Linked DNA regions of Mytilus edulis. The main gene of each other region encodes a partner of the protein of the gene in region 3 in a complex. Links are inferred from orthologs where the notes say so. Each region holds a gene or a part of one and is shown on either strand. Other genes may lie near its edges. The genes, in order: nuclear pore complex protein Nup93-like, nuclear pore glycoprotein p62-like and nucleoporin p58/p45-like.

Region 1 (8,104 bases), on a different chromosome or scaffold from region 3:
CCATTTTCTACTCTAGTTGAGCTGAGTATTTTGAAATCAATTATTTCCTAAAAATATAGAGTGTATATTTCATGATAAATACAGTTGCAGTGAACTCAATACAATGTCTTGTAGTTTTGGCATCATTGCATAATAATATATATTTATCTAGCATATAGCATCCTTCAATGTAACAAAAAAATTTCATACAACACAAGTTTGTCAGAAAATCAACATCATATTTGAATGTTGTCTTATATTGTGTGTTTCTTGCCTCCCAACTTTATCAATTTTATATTATTTAAGGTAAAATAAGCCATGGTTGAAGAGAGAAAAAAAATGCAAAAAACTGACTCAATTTGAGTTACAAGCTCTCAACTTGGGAGAGGCACATACAGAAGTGTCTGGGTAAAACTGCACTAGATATATAATTATACAACAATTTTACCTCACAGTATACTAAATCTGCGCCATATCTAAGTGACAAAAGTCTAAATGGTAATGTAGATACTCTAACCATAGGAGCCAAAATCACTTTGTGGTGGAAATCTATTTTCTCCGTCATTATCTATCAACACTGAAAAATAGTTCATAGTCATTTTTATATCAACAAAGGTAATCCAATGGGTCCGAGTACACAGTTATTTCGTAGTGCATTTCTTTTAGACAATAAATGAAAATTAAAAAAATCCCACCTGCGCTTTCTCAATTATATTTTTACAGTGTGTTGTACTACTTTTGGGACAAATTATATCAAAATTATAGAAAACTTCATTAGCTCTTACTCAAAATATGGACAATTTTATGTTAAGGGGGTCTTGAAATCTTTTGACAGCTTCCGAAGTGCTAATTTTTGACCTTTTTCAGCTGGACCTAATCACTACTTTACATTAATATTTATTACCCAATTTTTTTTACAGTGTCATTTCACCCCCCAACTTGCTATATGAGGCATAAAACATGGAGAAATAAATTTGGAAGGGGTATAACAAAAATTGGCAAGTAACACACTGTCCACACTAAGGACTATATTCGTGGACAACGAAAATCAAAGGACGATAACTGTGTACTCTGACCTAATAGGATAGAAAAAGTTGACCAATCTTAATAAAACTTGGTATGACTAAAGCTTAATATATTATAAGACTGCTTACAAAGTTTCATAGCAATAGGATATATATTATAGACAATATGATTAATTCTATATTCAACTTTGTGTGTTAAATTTAGACGTTAAAATTGAGAAATTTCAACTATCAACATTTGGGGCTTTTAAAATTTAAATTTGGCAAAAAAATACTTTTAAAATGCCTTAATATATAATATATCATGTATTTAAAGCAATAGAGTACTCATTTGATATATCAGACTTAGCATTATTATTCAAAAGTCAAATTTATATGAGCCTGTGCTTAAAAATAGAGGTTTTCCAATGAAAGGGTGTCTTACATGAAGATGTAATATTTTCCAGCAAATTTAAATTTGTGAAGCTTTTTGATTATAAATAATCCTTACATATCTATTTAATGTACTTTAAATGGAAATAAAACTTACAAATAACATATCATATTAGTTTAAAAGGGTCTTAGGCCAAGTAAGACTAAAAATAATTTAGGGTCAATTTAGGCCGCAGCACATATTTACATTTAAAAGTGCATATTGAAGCTATAGGAAATACAAATTTGTGTCTTTTCTATCATTTCTATACTCAGGTGACATGATACAATAAATCTGAGCACAAAAAGGCTCTTACATTCAACTTTTTAGCAGACAGTATGGTCTGATACAAAGATTTTTCACTTTTTAGTGAAAAACTTGCATGCAATTTTAGTCTCAACAGGCTTATATTTGAACCACATGCTATCCTACAGAAGTAAAGAAAGATATTATGAGAAATGAAACAGGTACAAAGGACATTGTTAAGTGTTTTTTATACAAATTTAGTGAGGTCTTTATTATTGACTTCAACTTTTATGTGCCATGCTCCTCACATTTAACTTGATCCAAACAGGGCGTTAGACGAGGGTCATTTATACAACACATTTTGCTCATACTGTCCAAGATAATCTTCTTTTCTGTAGATTCAGAGTTCACAAATAAGTAATAAAACTGGATTAAAGCATAGAAACACAAAAATTGAGACATGAAAACATGTCAGATAGAAAGTCAGAATGCCACTTATGCATCAAAATTGAAAAAGCTATGAAATGCTTATTTTGACCATATAATGCCAAAATTGGTCATTTTTGCAGAAATTCTATCAAATAAAAGTTTAAATCCTTTAGTTTTAAGCTATTTGACAAATTGACAACATCAAATCATTCAGGGAAGTTGCCAGAGTACAGATTCTATATTTCCTGATTTCACCTCTTAGGTCTGAGTACACAGTTATTTCGTAGTGCATTTCTTTTAGATAATAAATGAAAATTTTAAAAATCCCACCTGCGCTTTCTCAATAATATTTTTACAGTGTGTTGTACTACTTTTGGGACAAATTATATTAAAATTATAGAAAACTTCATCAGCTCTTACTCAAAATATGGACAATTTTATGTTAAGGGGGTCTTGAAATCTTTTGACAGCTTCCGAAGTGCTAATTTTTGACCTTTTTCAGCTGGACCTAATCACTACTTTACATTAATATTTATTACCCAATTTTTTTTACAGTGTCATTTCACCCCCCAACTTGCTATATGAGGCATAAAACATGGAGAAATAAATTTGGAAGGGGTATAACAAAAATTGGCAAGTAACACACTGTCCACACTAAGGACTATATTCGTGGACAACGAAAATCAAAGGACGATAACTGTGTACTCTGACCTAATAGGATAGAAAAAGTTGACCAATTTTAATAAAACTTGGTATGACTAAAGCTTAATATATTATAAGACTGCTTACAAAGTTCATAGCAATAGGATATATATTATAGACAATATGATTAATTCTATATTCAACTTTGTGTGTTAAATTTAGACGTTAAAATTGAGAAATTTCAACTATCAACATTTGGGGCTTTTAAAATTTAAATTTGGCAAAAAAATACTTTTAAAATGCCTTAATATATAATATATCATGTATTTAAAGCAATAGAGTACTCATTTGATATATCAGACTTAGCATTATTATTCAAAAGTCAAATTTATATGAGCCTGTGCTTAAAAATAGAGGTTTTCCAATGAAAGGGTGTCTTACATGAAGATGTAATATTTTTACAGTGTCATTTCACCCCCAACTTGCTATATGAGGCATAAAACATGAAACTGAAATGGAAAAAAAAAATATCTTATCACAATAGTTACTTATCATTATTATATTCTTCTAGATGAAACCCTCTGACAAATTAAGCAAAATAAAGCAAAACAAATACAATTGTGTATAACAATGAATCAGTGATATTGTTTGCCTTAAATTACTGGAGAATAAGGGCTTTTTCCCCTGGTGTAGAATCCCAATTTGGAAAAAAAAATGGCTTAAAATTATTCCCAAAAAGACAACTCTTTTCCCAAATAGTGCAGTCTCAATAGTAATTGTGCATGAATGCAAACTGAAAAACACTCATTTATACATTGTTCATGCCTACAATGACTATATGTGTAGATTTGAGGGTTCATTTATGACTTATCACTGACCATAAGGGGTTTTGTTCCACTTTTGGTCCAAAGAAGCACAGGTACAAAACAAGATTTTGTTAATAAATGTATATATACAGAATACATTATTCACTATTAAATGTGTACTAGATTAGAATTTAGGGGAAAAATCTCTTTTTTATTAAACTTGTATTGTTGATAAAATTATTTACAATTTATCATAATCTTCTTTACTTATTGCCTAAAACACAAAAAAGAGTAAAAACAAAATCAACATGTAAGGGCAATCACTCTTAGGAGTATAGTATACAAACGATTTTGGCGATACACTTATAAAATGTATGTAGACCTTCCCTTGCTAATAATTTTTGTCATTTAAAGAGTTTATCTATCTTATATAGTTTTCAAGTGAACTAGAGAGATGGACCAAAACTGCAAAAGTCACCATGTATCTGTATCTGTATATTTCTCGGAGAGATTTCAAGAGAGACATTCTTTCAGTTTCTAAAGGTGTACATGAAATCAGAAAAAGTGAAATGGTTTCATCCTCTTTGCCACAGACTCTGCAGATGGCAGATACCTCATTTTGAAAAAATTTCACTCCATATATTTGTCTTCAAGACATGCAAGATGAAATTGCCAGTTGCAAATCTGGTCCTAATTGTTAATTTGATTATGTCTCTACAGTTTGATGTATTTGTTGTAAGTATTGGATGTATTCTTTCTGTCTTATATTCACCAGATATGTATTTTAAGCTGGAGTATCTCTCAGAGTCTTTATTAATTTTTTCATTCCAGTAGGTTACTAGGTATGTATAGACGTATTTACACTTGTATGCAAATTTGTCCGCCATTATGTAAAATCACACAGGTTCCCGTAAACTTTGACATCATAATTTAAATTATTTGACGTCACAATTTAAAAGTGATTGTTGCTTGACGTCAAAAGGGTTGAGTTCAATATCGTAGCAGCTACGTAGCAGCTACGTAGCCGCTACGTAGCAGCTATCAATATCTATGTAATAACTAGTATTTAGCTACACGTTCAATAGTCAAAATCTACGTAGCGCTACGTAGCAGCTACGATATTGAACGCAGCCAAGGTGATTCGGAGTAGATCTAAGGTCATTCGGAGGCAAGATTCAGCTAAATACCAAAAGTGTAAATACGTTTATTCATTTGGTGATAAACTTTCCCATTGCTTTGACTTTTTTTGTAGACTATACATGTATGATAAAAATTACATTGGTGGATAACATGGCAATTTAGAAAACTTACCAAGTAACTGATTAATCTAAACAAAAAGCTTTCTCTAAATTGAAAGTACACTTAAAATATTGCAATCCTGGGAAACACCTGACAAAACCTGGGCGCAGACATTTTGGATAAATCAAGGTAAATGAGACGCTTGAATGTAATTCAGTGGATAACTTACGTTTATTAAAACATTTTAATGATCCAATTTCAAATCATTCTTATTTTCCTTTGGCGGTTTTGAACCGGTTGAAGAACATCAACAAGGATTGACAGAATAGGCTTTTGCCATATGAAAAGGTTACTTATTTATGATGAGACAACAAATAGTTTGGTTTTGCCCTGATGTACTGAAGGAAAGCATATGTATCCCTCAAATCTATTGTTATCCTTTTAATAGAATTATTGTAGTTCATGGCAAATGTGGTACCTAGTCCCTGAATAAAAATGACATCTGGCAAGGCTATTATTTTTTTTCTTTCTGGGATGCCTTACCGTTAATATATTTTTTCTGTCATTGCCAATTTTCAAACACAGGTACTAGACTTTCTATCAATAACAAGAACATATAGACCATGGGAAGAAAATAGTTTCAATTTATACGACAATGTCTTTTTTATATACCTTGGCACCAGGGCTTCCAAAACGGTGATATATTCCGGTCAGTTTATAATGTCTGGTAAAAGTCCGGCTGTGCAAAGCATGAAACGGTCATATACTTTTTAGGTTTCAAGGCTTTTTCAGTCATTTTTACATAATTCACGATCTTTTTGAACCAATCTTTTGCCTATAACATCAACACAATAAAAAATTCCGGTCATAAATGTGACATGATGATTAATTACTATCAAAACAACACCTACTTCAATACTTTCTAATTTTAATCAAAGGACATCGTATAAATTGATCGGTTTATTCACAATTATTTTCTTACATTTCAGCGGTTTGTATCTAATTGATTTAGTCCAAAAGATTAAAATTATTAGAAATTAGTTGATCAACATGATTTGATGAAAAATTTAAAAAGGTTTTATATGAAAAATCGTCAGAACTATGTCGTATGAATTAGAACATGTGTGCACAGGTGGAAAAGTTAATAATGCATCCTCATTTCTTCAAAAATGCTAACATTATTATTGATCTAACGTTCATTTCAAGTATTTTGTTGAAGAAATAACGGGGAAAAGAGCTTCTTCTCTCTGTCGTGCTTTGTAAACGTACACAGATTTAAGTATCCCTTTATGGTCCAAGTTTTACCATTGTCAAGTCAACATCCAGTTAGAACAATGTGAAAACGAAAGTAAAGTTTTTGACAATGTCATTTTGCACAAATAAAAAGTCTAAGGCTGATGTGCACACTTTGAATTATGCACTGCCAATTTAACAGTTACACCCGAACATTACGTTCAGGTATTTCCCATCCAATATTTTATGGAAATATTCTTTATAAAGGACAAAAATGTAAGTATTCACCTCAGAAGCTAACAAAACCTTTAAATAGACTTATTAAGAAGGGATATAGTTACGATACTGTTGTCAGGTCATTAAAGATTGCATATTTTGGCGTTAATATTGATTTACTTATAGGGTCTTTGCATCAGAACTAATCACATTAATATTGATAAACCAGTTGTTGGCATGACACGGGTTATGTTCTTCTCATATATGTTATGATGGTATGATACTAAACCCCTCACGGGGAGGATTGTGCCTGATATTCATATGATGAAGACATAATTTTTCAATCAGTTTAATTGAGGTCCGGAGCTGGCATGTCAGTTAACTGCAAATAGTCTGATGTTATTTATGTATTATTGTCATTTTGTTTATTTTCTTTGGTTACATCTTCTGACATCAGACTCGGACTTCTCTTGAACTGAATGTTAATGTACGTATTGTTATGCGTTTACTTTTCTGCATTGGCTAGAGGTATAGGGGGAGGGTTGAGATCTCACAAACATGTTTAATCCCGCCGGATTTTTGCGCCTGTCCCAAGTCAGGAGCCTCTGGCCTTTGTTAGTCTTGTATTATTTTAACTTTTAGTTTCTTGTGTACAATTTGGAGTTTAGTATGGTGTTCATTATCACTGAACCAGTATATATTTGTTTAGGGGCCAGCTGAAGAACGCCTCTGGGTGCGATAATTTCTTGTTGCATTGAAGACCTGTTGGTGACCTTCTGCTGTTGTCTGCTCTATGGTCTGGTTGTTGTCTCTTTGGCACATTCCCCATTTCCATCATCAATTTTATTAAATTCATATCATATCAAAGTAAAGTTTAAATTTTTTTAATGTAATGTCAATCATTGGAATATGGCCATCTGATTACCATAATTGCCTTTTGTGACTAAGTCTTAAGGGATTAAAATTGGGATCAGATATGAAATGTCCGGCTGGCTCAAATATTTTTTGGAAGCCCTGCTTGACACACACATGATATAGTAAGATCCCCACATGTTAGTATGTTGATGGATTTCTGAAATATCGGTCTCTCTAATATGTCACTTTTGGAATTATAATAATAATAATAATAAATTCTTTATTTAAAGAGGGTATACTCAGTTAGTTACAATAAACTAATCTTCCCTGAGGCCCTCACATACAAATGATACAATCAAAACAGATATTTACACATAGTTAATTTACAATCATGTAGTTCAATGTCATTAACATAAGATATAATGCTGTTTAAGATGTATACATGAAACCAAAAAATCAAATGAAAGTAAAAAATATATAAATACATTGTAGCAAACATTTCTTATCAGGGTTGTGTTAGGTACTTCTTGATACTTTGCTTAAAAGTAAAAGTGTTTTGAGCTTTACGCATTTTGTGTGGTAGTCCATTCCATAATACTGATCCAGAATAAGCAAAGGATTACTTAAATAGTTCAGCTTTTGGCTTTGGAACTATCAGATTACCTTGAGCGACACCTCTTAAGCCTAAAGGAGTAAGGATTATTATCTGATTTCAGTTTAAACTTTTGAACTAGGTACATTGGTGCTTCCATATGCATACATTTATATAGAAGTAAATATTTGTGGTATTTTATTCTATTGTCAACTGTCATCAACCCAAGTTTTTTAAATAAGGGGGCTGAGGGGGATAAAGGATCTGCATCTAGAATTAATCTTGCTGCCCTTTTTTGGAGTTTTAAAATTCTTGAAACTTGAAAGCAGGGAGACATTTGTACAGGTGCCCCTTCTATCTGGTAAATAAGATCATAAAGAAGTGTGAAAGTGACAATCTGTTCAGCTGAAAGACTAGGTACATTAGTGCT
Region 2 (7,560 bases), on a different chromosome or scaffold from region 3:
AATGGCACGACGTCTAGACCAATAAGTAAGCTATATCCACTTGAACTCTTATCAACAGATAGTCCGTGTGATTCAAGTGACAACACTATTACTTCAACCAGAAAAGCAAAAACTGATGCCAAGGAGAAAATCAAAAGTTGGATTCAACCGTTCCGTAAAGCATAGAGACTGTTTAAGTGTTAAAAGTTAAAGTTTTATTTCATTTGAGAGACAATAGTTATTTCATTTTAAAGTTTTTTCTTTATTTATTGCTTAAATTTTCATTCGCGGCCCCCCAGGATGTTCAGGACTGTGTTCATTAGACGTTCGCGGTACCGCTATGTATGTATAGTAACGTCATGCTACTTATGACGTTGAGATTTATGTGCAAATGGAGTTTAGAATCAATACAAGTAAAACCAGCTAGTATTTCTTATTTGTGCCTAAAAAGTCTGATTATACCACTCTAAGATAACCACTATATATTGCTTAACATCTTCTAATTTTTTTTCTGATCTATCCTTTTTATGGATAGCAGGCCATAATCTAGCCAGCAAAATGGTGATTTTAGTCGCCAAAGAATTTTGAGAATTGTTAAATCTTGCCGATTGACTGATATCATAGCATCTGATTCTCATTTCTGTCTTTAAAAATTCCAGGTTATTTCGGTAAAACAATTGTTGCAGTATAAGATAATAAAAGAAAGCCCCCATAAGTATGACCACCTAGACAATCATCAGTTAGGATCACTATTTATATAAGGGATAAACCCTTTATTGATGTAATATCATTTATCAAATAGTAAAAATTGGATGTTATAAATAATATTCTGGTGCATTACATGAAAGATTTTTCAATTAAAGAATGCATTTGTACATGTAACATTGTATTTTCAAATTTCTAAAATGATTCCTCAAGGTAATGACAATGAATTACCAAGAAATCTTCAAATAATTAATTTATTTTGGGATCATACAAGATCATGTCACCTTGTTATATTGATTTATAATTTTGCTGCATGTGAATCATAATGATAAACTGCTAATTATCAACAGGTAAAGTAAAGTGCTTGCTTTAAATGATGACATGCATATTAGATACTATTTTGGTTATTTTCATAATTACTTACATGTACCTGTCGTTTCAGGGTTATCTTTAGAATTTTTTTAAGGGTTTTATAGAGTAATAGGGAAGTTTTAAATTCATGTACCGGTATGTGTTTATCCAGGACTTCTATCTTTTGTATCGATACAGACAGATGAATAACACCCTTGAAGTAATCAATTAGATGAAAATATAGGGTTAAGTGTTGTTTTTACAAATAACACATGTATATTTTGCTTCAGAAGTAATTGTCTTTGATGGTATGGATGGAAGCAGGACAAATCGCCCATCTTGCTAATCGCCCCACATCAAATCGCCCCACACCAAATCTCCCCATTGTTTACAAACTCGCCCCACTTTTAAAAAAATCAACCCAAACTGATTTACAAACTGGTCCCACTTGTGAAAAGGGTTAAATCCCGTTAATTGCCCCACTTAATGCAAAAAGATAAAACCTAGATTTTCATTGACTTAATTCATAAGGACTTTTCTATTTTTCATAAGTGGGGCAAACTGACAAGCCTCTATTTATCAGGATTTGTATTTTTCCCAAGTGAAAATTGGCATTCACGTCACAGAAATACTGATACTCTCTTCTTTCTGATTTATTTCAACAAAAAGAAAAGAACTAGAACATAGATATAAGAAGATGTGGTACATGTATGAGTGCCAATGAGACAACACTCAATCCAAGTCACAATTTGTAAAAGAAAAACCATAAAAGGGGAAAGTACAGTCTTCAACACAGAGCATTGGCTCAAACCGAACAGTAAGCTATAAAGGGCCCCAAAATGACTTGTGCAAAACCATTTAAACAGGAAAAACATGACGTTTATCTATAAGACTTTTTGATATGGGATGAGCTCTGACGTCCCACGGCCCCAGCTTGTCTGGCAAAACAGGCGTTGGACGTCAGAGTAATCTCGACTATAGACAATTAAAATATTAGCTATAAAAGTACAAGTGACATATACTTCAACGTGTTCCCGAAGTCACGGTGTCAATAATGGGATACAGTTCAAAATTTGATTACCAGATTGATTATTCAGTGGTCTCATGGTCAGTGAGGGCAGTCGGGGTCAATACAAAGACCACGACAATCCTCACTGAACAAAGGGACCATGACTCAAACTGGTCTCTTGGTATCTGTGGGAATTTCATATATAATATTTTGTTTCTTTTATTAACCCCAATGTAGGTGACAGAAGTATGCGACAGTCTTTTTTTCTGGCGCATACATATTTTTGGCAATTTTTCATTAAATAATTGACACCGGGCTATCGGGAAGCAGTATATAATCTCTATCTTCAGCGATGGACATTAAGATTCATTTATACACTTGTGTATATTTATTAGCAACTACTACCTTATATATCAAAGCAATCAACTATGTAATTAGCAATGCAACGAAACAAAAGCAAGAACGACAAAATAAACATTTTTTTACAAAAGTAAAACCACAATACATTAAAGACTTTGAAAAAAAACCTCACAACTTAAGAACTCACGTGTAGTAAACAAAACACGAAACACTAAGACTTTTTTTTTCTTTTTTCTCCAAAAAACAATCACGATAAGTGTAAATAGGGCGCAAGTTCCATATCAGGAAAGTCGCCTCCCAAAATATCAATATAATAATAAATTTCAACGTGTTGAAGGTGGTCATTACAATGTATAAGTAGAAGAATACTAATTAAAAACAAATAGCAAGTGGCAAACAGAAAGATAATTTGTTCCTCGTCTAAAAAAAATGTTTTAAATAAATTATGTGTAGTGAAAAATCCTCAAAATCGCAGGGGACGAAGACGTATGTTCATTCATTGTATTCCAACTCTTTTCTACACTTTTAAATTAAAAGCCTTCCTTTTCTGTAAAGGAAAGCAAAACATGCTATTTTCATACTTTCTTTTTGATTTGGCTCGAAATCTTAATCGGTGTACAAATGTTCTTACATTTCTAATGCAAATCGCGTTACTTTAAACGCATAAGTGACCATAGAACAAGGGAGACCATTCATTGACAAAATGTCATGCCATAGAAATGCAAAATTCTTGGCAAGAACCGTTTTTGTTCACAAAAATAACGTAGAACAAGCCCACAATGCATTGATGAGGTATTATATTATAATTACTTACATGGTCTTTTTTTTTAAAGATTGACAATCATAAATCGTAGTACGTCCTTGAGAAATGTATCTTCGGGTATGATTCCAGGTATTTTCAAATGGGTCCCTTTTCTATCAAAATTGGGAATTTTCACCCAAATTGGGAAATTATTTCCGTATAAAATTTATGATAAAATAACATTATTTTCCTTTTAAAACAGAAAATGTTTCAAGTTTTACCTGTTTCATAATCATGATGGTAATGACCCAATGGATAAACTATTTACAATACACCTTATCGCTATTTTTCCGCCATTGCTGGATATCACACAGGTTCCCGTAAAATTTTGACATCATAAAACAAATATCTGACGCCACAATGGAAAAGTGATTGTTGTATGCGTCAAAAGTTCAAGCGGCCGGGTCAGCCGGGATTAGCGATAAGGTATATACATGGTACATGTAGTAAATTACAAACATTATATGTGAATAAAACATTAAAGGTATAATGAAAATCTATTGCAATAGATAATTACTAGTAAGAAAGAGGAAGATAGTTAATTAAGTGCCGTATATTAGTGATATATTATAAAGTATAAGATTTATTTTATTTTTATCGCACAATGTGGTTATATTTTTTCCTGTAATTTTGAACATTTTTAATACAAAAGTCTCTCTAATACTGGAGTAACCTCTGCAGTGTAGCAGCATGTGCTGTTCATGATCTATCATTAAATTTATTAACCTTGCAGCTTGCCTCTAATTTATTGATAGTAAAAGCTAAAAAAGCTCTATTCAAAATACAGAAATCTCTAAGTCTTAACAATTCATGTAGAATTTTAGAAAAACTTTTTGATACAATGGTACTCCCAATTTTATTACATGAATATCATGTATATGGAAGTGAAGTTTGGGATATTGAATCAAATTTTAAAAATACTGAGAATCAACCATATGAAAAGTTACAAAATGTACATATAAAATTTATGAACATGAACATAAGGTGTCTTATACAATATATCATGGTCCAAATAGGCACCTAGGTATAACCAGATGCTCTACAGGGCGTAGCTTTATACGACAGCAGAGGTCGAAACCCTGAACAGTTGGGGCAAGTATGGACACAACATTCAAGCTTGATACAGTTCTGAATTTGGATTGTGATTAAATAGTTGATACAACATAGGTTTCTGACACAGAATGAATGTGGTCTAAGAGAAACTTAAAAACTTAAATTTTTTAAATTGGACATTTACCTATTATGGTCCAATATCCAAAATCTGAAAACATGGTTAGATTCAGCATATCAAAGAACCCCAAGAATTCAATTTTGGACCCTTTAGACCTCAATGTGTACCAATTTGATAAACTGGCCCAAATATTAAACATCTAAATACATGGTTAGATTCAGCTTATTGAAGAACCCCATATATTCAATTTTTGTTGAAATCAAACAAGATTAATTTTGGACCCCGATTTGGAACAACTTGAAAACTGGGCCCATAATAAAAAAAATCTATGTACATGTTTAGATTCAGCATATCAAAGAATCCCAACAATTCAATTTTTGTGAAAAATCTAAATAAGTTTTATTTTGGACCCTTTGGACCTTAATGTAGACCAATTTGAAAACGGGACCAAAAAATAAGAATCTAAATACATGGTTAGATTTGGCATATATCAAAGAACCCCAATAATTTTTGATGAAATCAAACACAAAGTTAATTTTGGACCCTTTTGGCCCCTAATTCCTAAACTGTTGGGACCAAAACTACCAAAATCAATTCCAACCTTTTGTGGTCATAAACCTTGTGTTTAAATTTCATAGATTTCTATTTACTTATACTAAAGTTATTGTTCAAAAAACAAGAAAATGCTTATTTGGGCCCCTAATTTCTAAACTGTTGGGACCAAAACTCCCAAAATCAATCCCAATCTTCCTTTTGTGGTCATAAACCTTGTGTTTAAATTTCATAGATTTCTATTTACTTATACTAAAGTTATAGTGCGAAAACCAAATGTCTTCAGACGACGACGCCAAAGTCATACCAATATATGACCAAAATTTTTTTTAATTTTTGCGGTCGTATAAAAATGTTGCGGATAATATGATCAGAGTGACATATCAAACATCTGCCCTTCAATAACTTCAAATTAGCACAAAACCAGGAATATTAGTTTCAAAGAAAAACAACCAGAAACTTAGAACAGCCACACGAATATATTTGGGATTTAGCACTATTTTTATTTAGATAAGATGATTCCTTTTACTTTATAGTTTTGATCACTGGAAAGTTTATCTGTACACAACAGAAGTTTAAATAATTAATGTTAAAGAAAATGCGTCATTCTGAAAGTATAATGTTCTTTCAAGTACTCTATAAAAATTTAATCCCAAAATAAAAAAAAGTAGAACTCTATTTTCTAAGATTTGAATTTGAATTTCAAGCAAGAATTCATTATTATGTTTGGATCACATATACATGGTATCAGACAGTGATGGACTGATGGTATGATCAATTAAAGTTACTAACAGGCTATTATCTATGTATACCAGAATGGTGCCATCCAAGCAGGGTAATGCTCATTGTTGAATGCTGTACTGTTACCGTTAGTTGTTAATTTCTGTATCATTTTGTCTCTTGTGCAGAGTTGTCTCATTGGCAATCATACCACATTTTCTTCTTTTTTATATAAACAAATACCAAACCTTGACAAATGTATTATGTGAGTATATAAACCTGTTAATAACTTAGACTAGTTATGTAAGTGCAAATTACTTGAATAAATATTCTATAATTTCAATTTTAAACTAGTCTCTGTAATAAAAATTTAAACACTTTTTTTTCCAGATTTATGAGAAATGATGGAATTGTTGACCAAGTTAGGAGAAAGAAATATTATGAAAAACCAACCACAATGAGGAGACGTATTAGTTATGAAAGATGCAAGAGGATATACAATGCTGACATGCAAAGAAAAATAGAATTTGTGATGAAAGTCAACAGAGAAAGTCCATGGATAGGATGATGAATATTAAAATACATTATGTGTATTCTGCTCCTCATAAGTGACATACTTCCAAAACATTTTTTCAGATGGAATGTAAATTATATAGAAAATAAACAGTTGTGACAAATAAAGTTCATCATTTGCATAATATTTAAAAAAAAAATCCCCCCCTCCTCCAACAGTCTGTACTGAGAGATTTATTATACAAAGATTGGATTGGTTGATGGAAATCAGCTTGTCTGTCTGTTTGTTTGTCCAGACCAACTTCTATGACCTTTGATTCACTTCTAACTTTTTAGAATAATTTATTATGATATGCAAAAACAATGTATCAACAGGTAAAAGATTGTCAATTCTGTTTAGTTTCCCTAGAATTATGCCCCTTTTCAGACAGAAAATTGGCATAGCAACTCCTGCATGGTTTATTATGTCTACATGAAAACTAATTATTTGTTAGATCTTTATATCATGTATATAGAGATGTGCATGTGGGTAGTATTTTCCTATCCATTGAGGTTTTTAGGAGTTATGGCCCTTTCAACTTTTTCCCCTGACATTACGATTGCAACACCACCAACAGGTATATGTATAATAATATCTACACATAACTTGTTATATTGTTAAATCTTTATATACTTATGATGGTAGGATGCTCTGTCTATTTAGTTTTTCTAGAGATGTCTCTTTGCAATGACAATATTTTGACCCAGTCCATTACCTATAAACTCAACAACTTTTCCATCATGGTTTATAATATCTACATGGAAATGGATACATTATTAGATCTTAATGTGTAGATGTGCATGTGGTTAAGATCTCATTCTCTTCCCTACAATGATGGTTCTTATATCTATATGAAACTTTGTATATGGTTAGATCTGGACATACAATATGGATGTATGTAGGATATGAGTGCATCTACGACATCAAATTAAACTCTGCTAAAAAGTCTAAGTTAATATTACTAAGATCTTTGATTTAGAGTATTTCAGTTACTAGCATATTACAATTTGATTCAGGGATAGGGTATGGTAGTAGACCAGCTAAATGGACAGTAAAAGTTATGTTTTGTTCACGAGCAGCTGAGCCGTAGTCATCCCTATTCCATTCTGTAAGTGAGGTTTTCTCATCACTTGGCATCTGTCGTCGTCTGTTAATTTTTTTCTTGCCTGTGACTGGGATACATAGATTGCCTGTGACTGGGAGACATAGATTGCCTGTGACTGGGAGACATAGATTGCCTGTGACTGGGAGACATAGATTGCCTGTGACTGGGAGACATAGATTGCCTGTGACTGGGAGACATAGATTGCCTGTGACTGGGAGACATAGAGACTACAATTTACAATCTTACGATGGCA
Region 3 (8,086 bases):
AGTATTCTATAACATCATATTTCTTTTATAATTTTAATTTGTGACTCCCTTGTCCACGAAAAGAATTCATCACACTAACTTGATATACAATTGTTTCGTAGAGTCTGAACCCTACATCATAGGCTTTCGTTTTAGTTAAATTGAACTGGACAAAACATTGACCTAGACATGCAGTTGATCATTCCTGTTTCATTTAAATTTGGTCTATTTTGAAGAGCTGTTTCATTGTCAATCATACCATATTTTCTTTTCCTATTTTACTATTAATAATACATTTTAAGGAAATGGGGTTCGAATTCTCAATAAGAATTTTTCTAATGAATTCAAGGACTAGTCATTTTTGGTAATGGCGATTTCACAATTCTGACAATTAAAATCAACATGATTAAACTTCAAACTAACACATTGCCGATGATGCTGGAAACAGCAACTTTAGTCTGACTTTGTCAATGAATTTATCGAGACAAAAACTGAAGCAACTTTTGTAGTTTTCACACTGTCAGATACAATGTACTTATTTTTTTCAGCAATATCATGTTTATGACTTTTCAATTCTTTGTCATGTCAAAAATATTTTACCAGTATATTTCTTTTTTTAAATAATATTAAAATAATATACCTGGTTGGTTAGCCATGTCTGGAATTTACCTGTAATAAAGACAACATTATATTTTCAACATTAATGTTTCTCATCTTCTCATTGCATGCATATACAACTGTTAGTCACTCATTTAATTAATGGCTAATGACATGAATGTTAATCATGTTAATACTAAAGTCAAACTTCTTTCAGACCTCTTTAAAAAAACAAGAACAAGAGTGAACAATGCTGCAATATCTAGCCTGTTTTACTTATCACAAACGAATTGATATTGAACGAATTTATAAAAGTTTTGCATGAACATTACAAATGGAAATGAGATCAAGGTCAGATGAAACGTACCAGACACCATGTTCACCATGCAATCCTTCTATACACCAAATGCAGTTGACTAATGAACCATGAAACTAAGGTCAAGGTCAGGTGAACTCTCTATGACAGATATGTACACCTGACAATCAATTAAAATATAACCAAATATTGGTGTCCTATTGAGTATAGTACTTGAAAAAAACAGACCAAAATACAAGACCTAGCTTTGAGTGCAATGGCATGCACCATAAAAATGAGGTCACGGTCAAATGAACCCTGTCAGTTGAACATACAGTATACACCTTACAATTATTCAATCATTATCTATACTAAATATAGGTGATATATAATAGCTTATAAATGTAGTTTCTAGTAAATAAACCAAATCATAAAAAATAACATAGACTAAAGAAGCATTAAAATGAGGTCAAGGTCAAATGAAACCTGCCAGTCAGACATGTTTTACAATCATTCCATATAAAATTTGCTGATCTATTGCTTACAGTATCTGATTGGGATATGGATGTGACCACGAAAAACTTAATTTGATATTTGAGGGGTTGAATAAAGAAGGGGGCAGGTGGACTAACTGACATGTAGACCTTGCAAGGAAACCATACCAAATATAGTTTTCCTTTTACTCATGATAAGTAAGAAATTCACATGACAGTCACTTAACAATGAAAATGAGGTCAAGGACATAGGATATATACACAAACTTTGTAACATAAGGCATCTGCATACAAGACATGAAGGTTTATAGTGTATGCTGTCCTCACTGTCTAATTGTAATCCTCACTTTAAGGTTTCTATTTCTGTTCCAGGTGAGACAAAAACTGAAAGCAGAGCTCATAATTCATACTACAATTTTGATCATTCTTCTGTGCCTGCTAATTCAAATTCCACAATATGCATGATATGCAATGGGAAACCACCAAAAAAAAAATCAGATAAATATAAAAATAATTTTATTCATGTGACATGTATAACTATTTGAATGTTACATCGAAATCTATTCAGTTGTTCGAAGTTATGGATTCAAATACACCTTATCGCTATTTGTCCTCCAATACCGGACATCCCTCTGGTTCACGTAAAATTTTGACGTGCTAGGCTAATACAAAATATCTGACGCCACAATGGAAAAGTGATTGTTGTAAGATGTCAATAGTTCAAGCAAGACAGATTTTATGGTCATTCTGAAAAGTGATAAGGTGTATTAGTTTTCTAAAATTGTCAAATTTGCAGATAAAATTTCATGTATACATGTACATGATTTTTCATCTCATGTAATTAAATATAATATTCTTATCCCAAACTTTGTCTAGTTTGAAGAATTAAATATTTTTATTAATAATTAAGGAGAACGAAAAAAGTTAATTTCTGATTGTTGTTTCATTTGTAAGAGATGTTGAAGATACTGAAATGTGCATTCAAACTCAAAGTAGTAAACAAACTGACAATGCCATGACATAAAATGAAAAACAACAAAGAGATACAACAGTTCACAGAAAACTAAAGACTGGACAACACAAATCCAACCAAACACCATGAACACAGGGGCGGGGTATGATGTTGGGTGCTCCAGAGGTGTAAGGATTCTTTTCTTTTAAACACAGCAACAGATCTTGTGATCTACCCAGAGATAAATGTAAGTGCATGGACAGAACTTATTTACATGCCAGACATTACCAAAATACTATACACAGAAATTATATTATCATTCAATTGTTTCCTTATACAATCTCGGGAAAGTTGTGATTTACTCGCTAAATATACGTTGGTAGTGGGTCTTCCAAATTTATGGATAGAAACAAGTGCCTGTAAAAGTTGCACAGCTAAAAACGAAAGCTGGATAAATTTTTGCTAGCACGAACTACATGTACATACACAAGTAAACTTTCCAATTATTTAGGTTGCAAAGATATGGACTGCATATATATAACTTCTTATATATTTCTAATATCTTCAGATCATACAATCACTACAGAATTTCCCACCAAAATTATATTATTTTTCTCATCTCATGCCTTTCGAAATTCTGTCGACTGATTCCTTAATTAATCGACACTTTCGTTGAGCAAGGTATTATTGAAAATTTTGGACAGGGAACTAGTAACAATAGTAATATTAGATGAAACCAGGATAAGTTGGGATACTTTTCCGGAATATTGTGCAACATTTTACAGAATACAGAATACATTTTACACCTGAGATCACCCCCAGTTTATGGTGGAGTTCGTGTTGCTTATTCTTTAGTTTTATATGTTGTGTCATGTGTACTATTGTTTGTCTGTTTGTCTTTTTCATGTTTAGCATGTATTGTATTGTATTGTATTGTATTGTATTGTATTGTATTGTATTGTATTGTATTGTATTGTATTGTATTGTATTGTATTGTATTGTATTGTATTGTATTGTATTGTATTGTATTGTATTGTATTGTATTGTATTGTATTGTATTGTATTGTATTGTATTGTATTGTATTGTATTGTATTGTATTGTATTGCATTGCATTGCATTGCATTGCATTGCATTGCATTGCATTAATGCATTGCATTGTATTGCATTGCATTGCATTGCATTGTATTGTATTGCATTGTATTGTATTGTATTGTATTGTATTGTATTGTATTGTGTATTGTATTGTATTTAGTAGTTTCCGTAAATTCTTTTTTAAATTATTTCTATATTGAAAAAAAATTGCTTGCATTTTATGGAAGAATTGTCAATGAAAGTTGACAAAAAGGACCCAAAAAAATCATCCCTCTTGTCGTAAATTTTAGTGTATAGTTTCCCGTGTAGAACGAACATATCTAAAATCCAGGTAAGGACAGTTTTAACCGTTTATATTTTATTTATTTCAAGTGAAAGTTATTTCCTTTGGGTAAATTTCAGCCGTATATTTAGAAAACACATCAAGATAACCGTAAGTGTTGTTGAATATATATCAATTAAATGCAAGTTAGACTGGTCATAAACTGTGATTCATGGCAGTACAAGTCTGATATTAGGGGCGCCATTGGTCCCCATAGGAATACCTACCAACTCGTCGATATGTAACCTTTGATGCCGAAACGTACATTAATATTTGCATGGAAAAATTGTCAGCTACAATCTAATCACACACCCAATAAGTATATCTAACATATTTACCTTTCTCATTAGGGAATAAAATTGAGAATGGAAATGGGTTAATATCAGAGACAACGACCCGACCAAAGAGCAGACATCAGCCGAAGGCAACCAATGGGTCTTAAACGCAGCAAGAAAATACCGCACTCGGAGGTAATCCTCATCTAGCCCCTAAATAAAATTGTGCATACTAGGTCAGTGAAAATGGACGTCACACTAAACTCCAAAACATATAAATGAACTAAGACTAACAGAGGCTCCTAAATTGGGACAGGTGCAAAAATGCAAAGAAAAGAAGGCTTTACAGCAAAATGATTTGAGTGTGTAGGTAAAGGGTATACATTTGGCTAGCTTGCTTGTTAACTGAACCGTAAACTTATTATAAAGTTAGCTACTATAGTATTCTGCCTAGCTCCTTTCGGAGTAGTCTAGTCTTACAGACAGATATATTAGTTACCTGTCGGACTAGACTAATCATAAAGGAGGGTAGTATACATAACCTAATAATGCCACGGACTTCACGGCTCAGCTAGCAAGCACACAATATATATATAACCAATGATATTATCTTTACCTACACACTCAATTCATTTTGCTGAGTTGAAGCAAATATATTTGTAACTAAATAGGAAAACCTTTGTTTGATAAGATTGTGTGGAAGTGTAGTGGAAAGAGTTGAAAAGTAAAAACTGTCAACTAATCGAAACTTCAAAAGGACCACAAAAAGCACCTGATTTATCTAAAACAAAGAATGTTTAACAACTTATAACATATATAAGATGTCCCTAGCTTCATATCAATGAGCAAAACTATGAGACTTGAGGGACGGTTTTAATCAAAATTGATGTATGTATATGTTACAGGGAATTTGTGAAATCAGTGATTTTGTAAAATCCCTGAAATTTCAGGGAATTTGTAAAATCACTGAACTGATTAATGATTTTATAAAATCCCTGATTTTGACTAATGATTTTACAAAATCACTGAAATAATTAAGATCTTTTTTACAGATTCACTGATTAAATTCAGGGAATTTGTAAAATACATTCATTCATTTTTATTAAGAATTTCAGTGAAAAAAGACTACAACAGTATGAAACTCCAGAAATGATTCACGAGGTTCACTATTCGATTTTAGGATATCTTTAAATATTTCAGGACCTCCATAATTCGATTTAAGGGGGATATCTTTGAAACGATGTCAAGAATTCCTTTAAAAATTGATGTCAAAATGTCTTGAAATATTTAGCCATACATTTTTCTAATAGAAATAGTTTTGACTTTATACTCCGCGCCTCATACAAACCCGTTTACATAAGGTTATCGATAAAAGGCTCTCAACATATGACATACGAAAAAAAAACTCTTAAGAAGAAAATCTCTAGTCTAATTTATACAAAAACAATAAACGAAAATCATTGGCCCAGCTTTGTCCTGATTTATAGTGAGGCACACTTTAGGACGTTGGCTTTAATGCTCGCAATGACGATAATCTTTTGATAATCTGTTGATAAGCTGAGGTTGCAATTTACGAATGCAAAGATTATATTCGAGGAAAATAAGATGAGATTATAATGACAATTGGAACATTTCTGTTGTTATCTGTAATTCAGATATTCCATAATTTTGATCGGATGTGTGATGGTGTTCTAAAGTTTTCGAAACTCTGTATGATTTCAACTTCACTTAGAACTCTTGGTTTAAAAGCTTCGTTGAGGGCAGACAGGAACCCTCTATCAAGAAAATTTAACACGAAATGTAAGCTCTGGACTATCGTTTCAACTGGGAGAATCAGATATATACCGATAACTCATATGGCAGCGCTGCTGCGATGTTGCTACATAGAAATGGAAAGTTCAAGTGGTAGAAAGCTGAAACTATCTCTTTAGTCGTAAATATTTGTTCTCGATCGACCCTCGTTGTCAACATGGACTTTATTACAAGTCCCTGTTCACGGCCGACACTCGGCTAACCGAGAGTTTGGTCGGTTAATCTATATTGAGTATGCGGCTATATCGGCGGTTGGTCTGTTAATCGGGTTGGCTAAAGTCTGTTAATCAGGTGTTATCGAGAAAATCATTGCAAGGTCAGTATGTTTCATTGTATAACTTTTTAATTAAGGTCTTTCCTTTTACTAAAGGGAAAGACCTTACTGTATTTCTTCTGACTATTATTAAGGTCTTTCCTTTTACTAAAGGGAAAGACCTTACTGTATTTCTTCTGATTATTATTCTTCTTGTTCCGCCAAACTTTGACAAAATTTCCCTCCGTAACCGTAAGACGTGTCGCTTTCATGTTCACACTTTGTATCGGTGTCATGAATACCTATCCGGAACTCACCCTGTGAGTCGAAATATTTTGTCGGTTCGGAGTAATCCCTCCGAAACCCAAAAACCTTGTTATCGTTCCAACACCGTAACCGTAATAGGTAGAAAAAAAATGAAGGGTGAAATTTGTTCAGGACCAGACCCCGGTTCTTCGTTACATTTGGATCGAAAAGATTCAACGACTCATTGGTAGGGTTATGCCCCTATGAAAATTAACCGGTGTCGGTTGGCCACCAAAACTCAGAAACCGTAAGTCGTAGACACATAGGATCTTCACCAATCATCATCATTTCATGTATCTTTAAAAAATACCTCAAGGTCATATTTGTATGTTGACCTTGACCTTTGACCTAACACCTTGTTATGGGATAATCTCAAAAACCATTATACTTACAGAAGTTTTAAATGGTGGAAAATGTTTGGGTCATTATGGCGCAACTTTGTTACATTTTGACCAAAGAGATTTGACCTTTCTATAAGGGGCATAACCCCTGTTTTAGGTTTTTGAAAAGACAAAATCAGCTTTTACTATATAACCAAAGGTCCTAGACCCTTAAGGTCTTCAGTAATGGCATTGGGGACCAATGACCTTGACAAAGGTCAAAAGGTCAAAGGTCAAGGTCATGTACCAGATAGCGAATTTAGTGTTTTTAACCTTATATAAAGGATTTTTAGTGTGTTTTCGAGCTTTTTAAGGTTGACCTTGACCTTTTCAATACATTCTACGTCTGTTGGAACATGTATTTTACATTAAAAAAGGAAAGACCTCTCAATTGTTCAAGAACAATTGACAGTTTAATTATTCTTTTTGTTCCGCCAAACTTTGACAAATTTATCCGCGTTAACCGTAAGATGTGTCGCTTTCATATTCACACTTTGTATCGGTGTCATGAATACCTATCCTGAACTCACCCTGTGAGTCGAAATATTTTGTCGGTTCGGAGTAATCCCTCCGAAACCCAAAACCATTGTTATCGTTCCAACACCGTAACCGTAATAGGTAGAAAAGAAACAAAGGGTGAAATTTGTTCAGGACCAGACCCCGGTTCTTCGTTACATTTGGATCGAAAAGATTCAACGACTCATTGGTAGGGTTATGCCCCTATGAAAATTAACCGGTGTCGGTTGGCCACCAAAACTCAGAAACTGTAAGTCGTAGACACCTAGGATCTTCACCAATCATCATCAATTCATGTATCTTTGAAAAATACCTGAAGGTCAAATTTGTATGTTGACCTTGACCTTTGACCTAACACCTTGTTATGGGATAATCTCAGAAACCATTATACTTACAGAAGTTTTAAATAGTGGAAAATGTTTGGGTCATTACGGCGCAACTTTGTTACATTTTGACCAAAGAGATTTGACCTTTTTATAAGGGGCATAACCCCTGTTTTAGGTTTCTGAAAAGACAAAATCAGCTTTTACTATATAACCAAAGGTCCTAGACCCATGGGGTCTTCAGCAATGACATTAGGGACTAATGACCTTGACAAAGGTCAAAAGGTCAAAGGTCAAGGTCATGTCCCATATAGCGAATTATGTGTTTTTGACCTTATTTAAAGGATTTTCAGTGTGTTTTAAAGCTTTTCAATACATTCTACGTCTATTGGAACATATATTTTACATTATCAAAGGAAAGACCTCTCAATTGTTCAAGAACAATTGACATTTTAATTATATTTATATCATAAAAACTATTCATGTCTG

What was found.
Region 1: nucleoporin p58/p45-like (region 3) and nuclear pore complex protein Nup93-like share a complex: the UniProt entries of both Homo sapiens proteins name them as parts of the p62 complex. The link is inferred for Mytilus edulis from reciprocal best matches to the Homo sapiens genes NUP58 and NUP93.
Region 2: nucleoporin p58/p45-like (region 3) and nuclear pore glycoprotein p62-like share a complex: the UniProt entries of both Homo sapiens proteins name them as parts of the p62 complex. The link is inferred for Mytilus edulis from reciprocal best matches to the Homo sapiens genes NUP58 and NUP62.

The regions. Positions count from the first base shown.
Region 1 is NC_092348.1:93,170,477-93,178,580, forward strand, and holds the start of nuclear pore complex protein Nup93-like, read left to right. Parts: upstream 1-5,012; 5' UTR 5,013-5,126; intron 5,127-8,104. Other genes in the region: tRNA-dihydrouridine(20) synthase [NAD(P)+]-like, read right to left, coding at 2-47, 428-544. UniProt on the Homo sapiens protein: Plays a role in the nuclear pore complex (NPC) assembly and/or maintenance. May anchor nucleoporins, but not NUP153 and TPR, to the NPC. During renal development, regulates podocyte migration and proliferation through SMAD4 signaling.
Region 2 is NC_092344.1:96,295,783-96,303,342, reverse strand, and holds the start of nuclear pore glycoprotein p62-like, read right to left. Parts: upstream 3,085-7,560; 5' UTR 2,986-3,084; exon of another isoform or gene 2,592-2,985; intron 166-2,591; coding exon of another isoform or gene 1-165. Other genes in the region: uncharacterized protein, read left to right, coding at 1-165; small ribosomal subunit protein bS21m-like, read left to right, coding at 3,108-3,196, 6,040-6,217. UniProt on the Homo sapiens protein: Essential component of the nuclear pore complex. The N-terminal is probably involved in nucleocytoplasmic transport.
Region 3 is NC_092351.1:34,502,153-34,510,238, reverse strand, and holds the start of nucleoporin p58/p45-like, read right to left. Parts: upstream 3,022-8,086; 5' UTR 2,804-3,021; intron 649-2,803; 5' UTR 636-648; coding exon 620-635; intron 1-619. UniProt on the Homo sapiens protein: Component of the nuclear pore complex, a complex required for the trafficking across the nuclear membrane.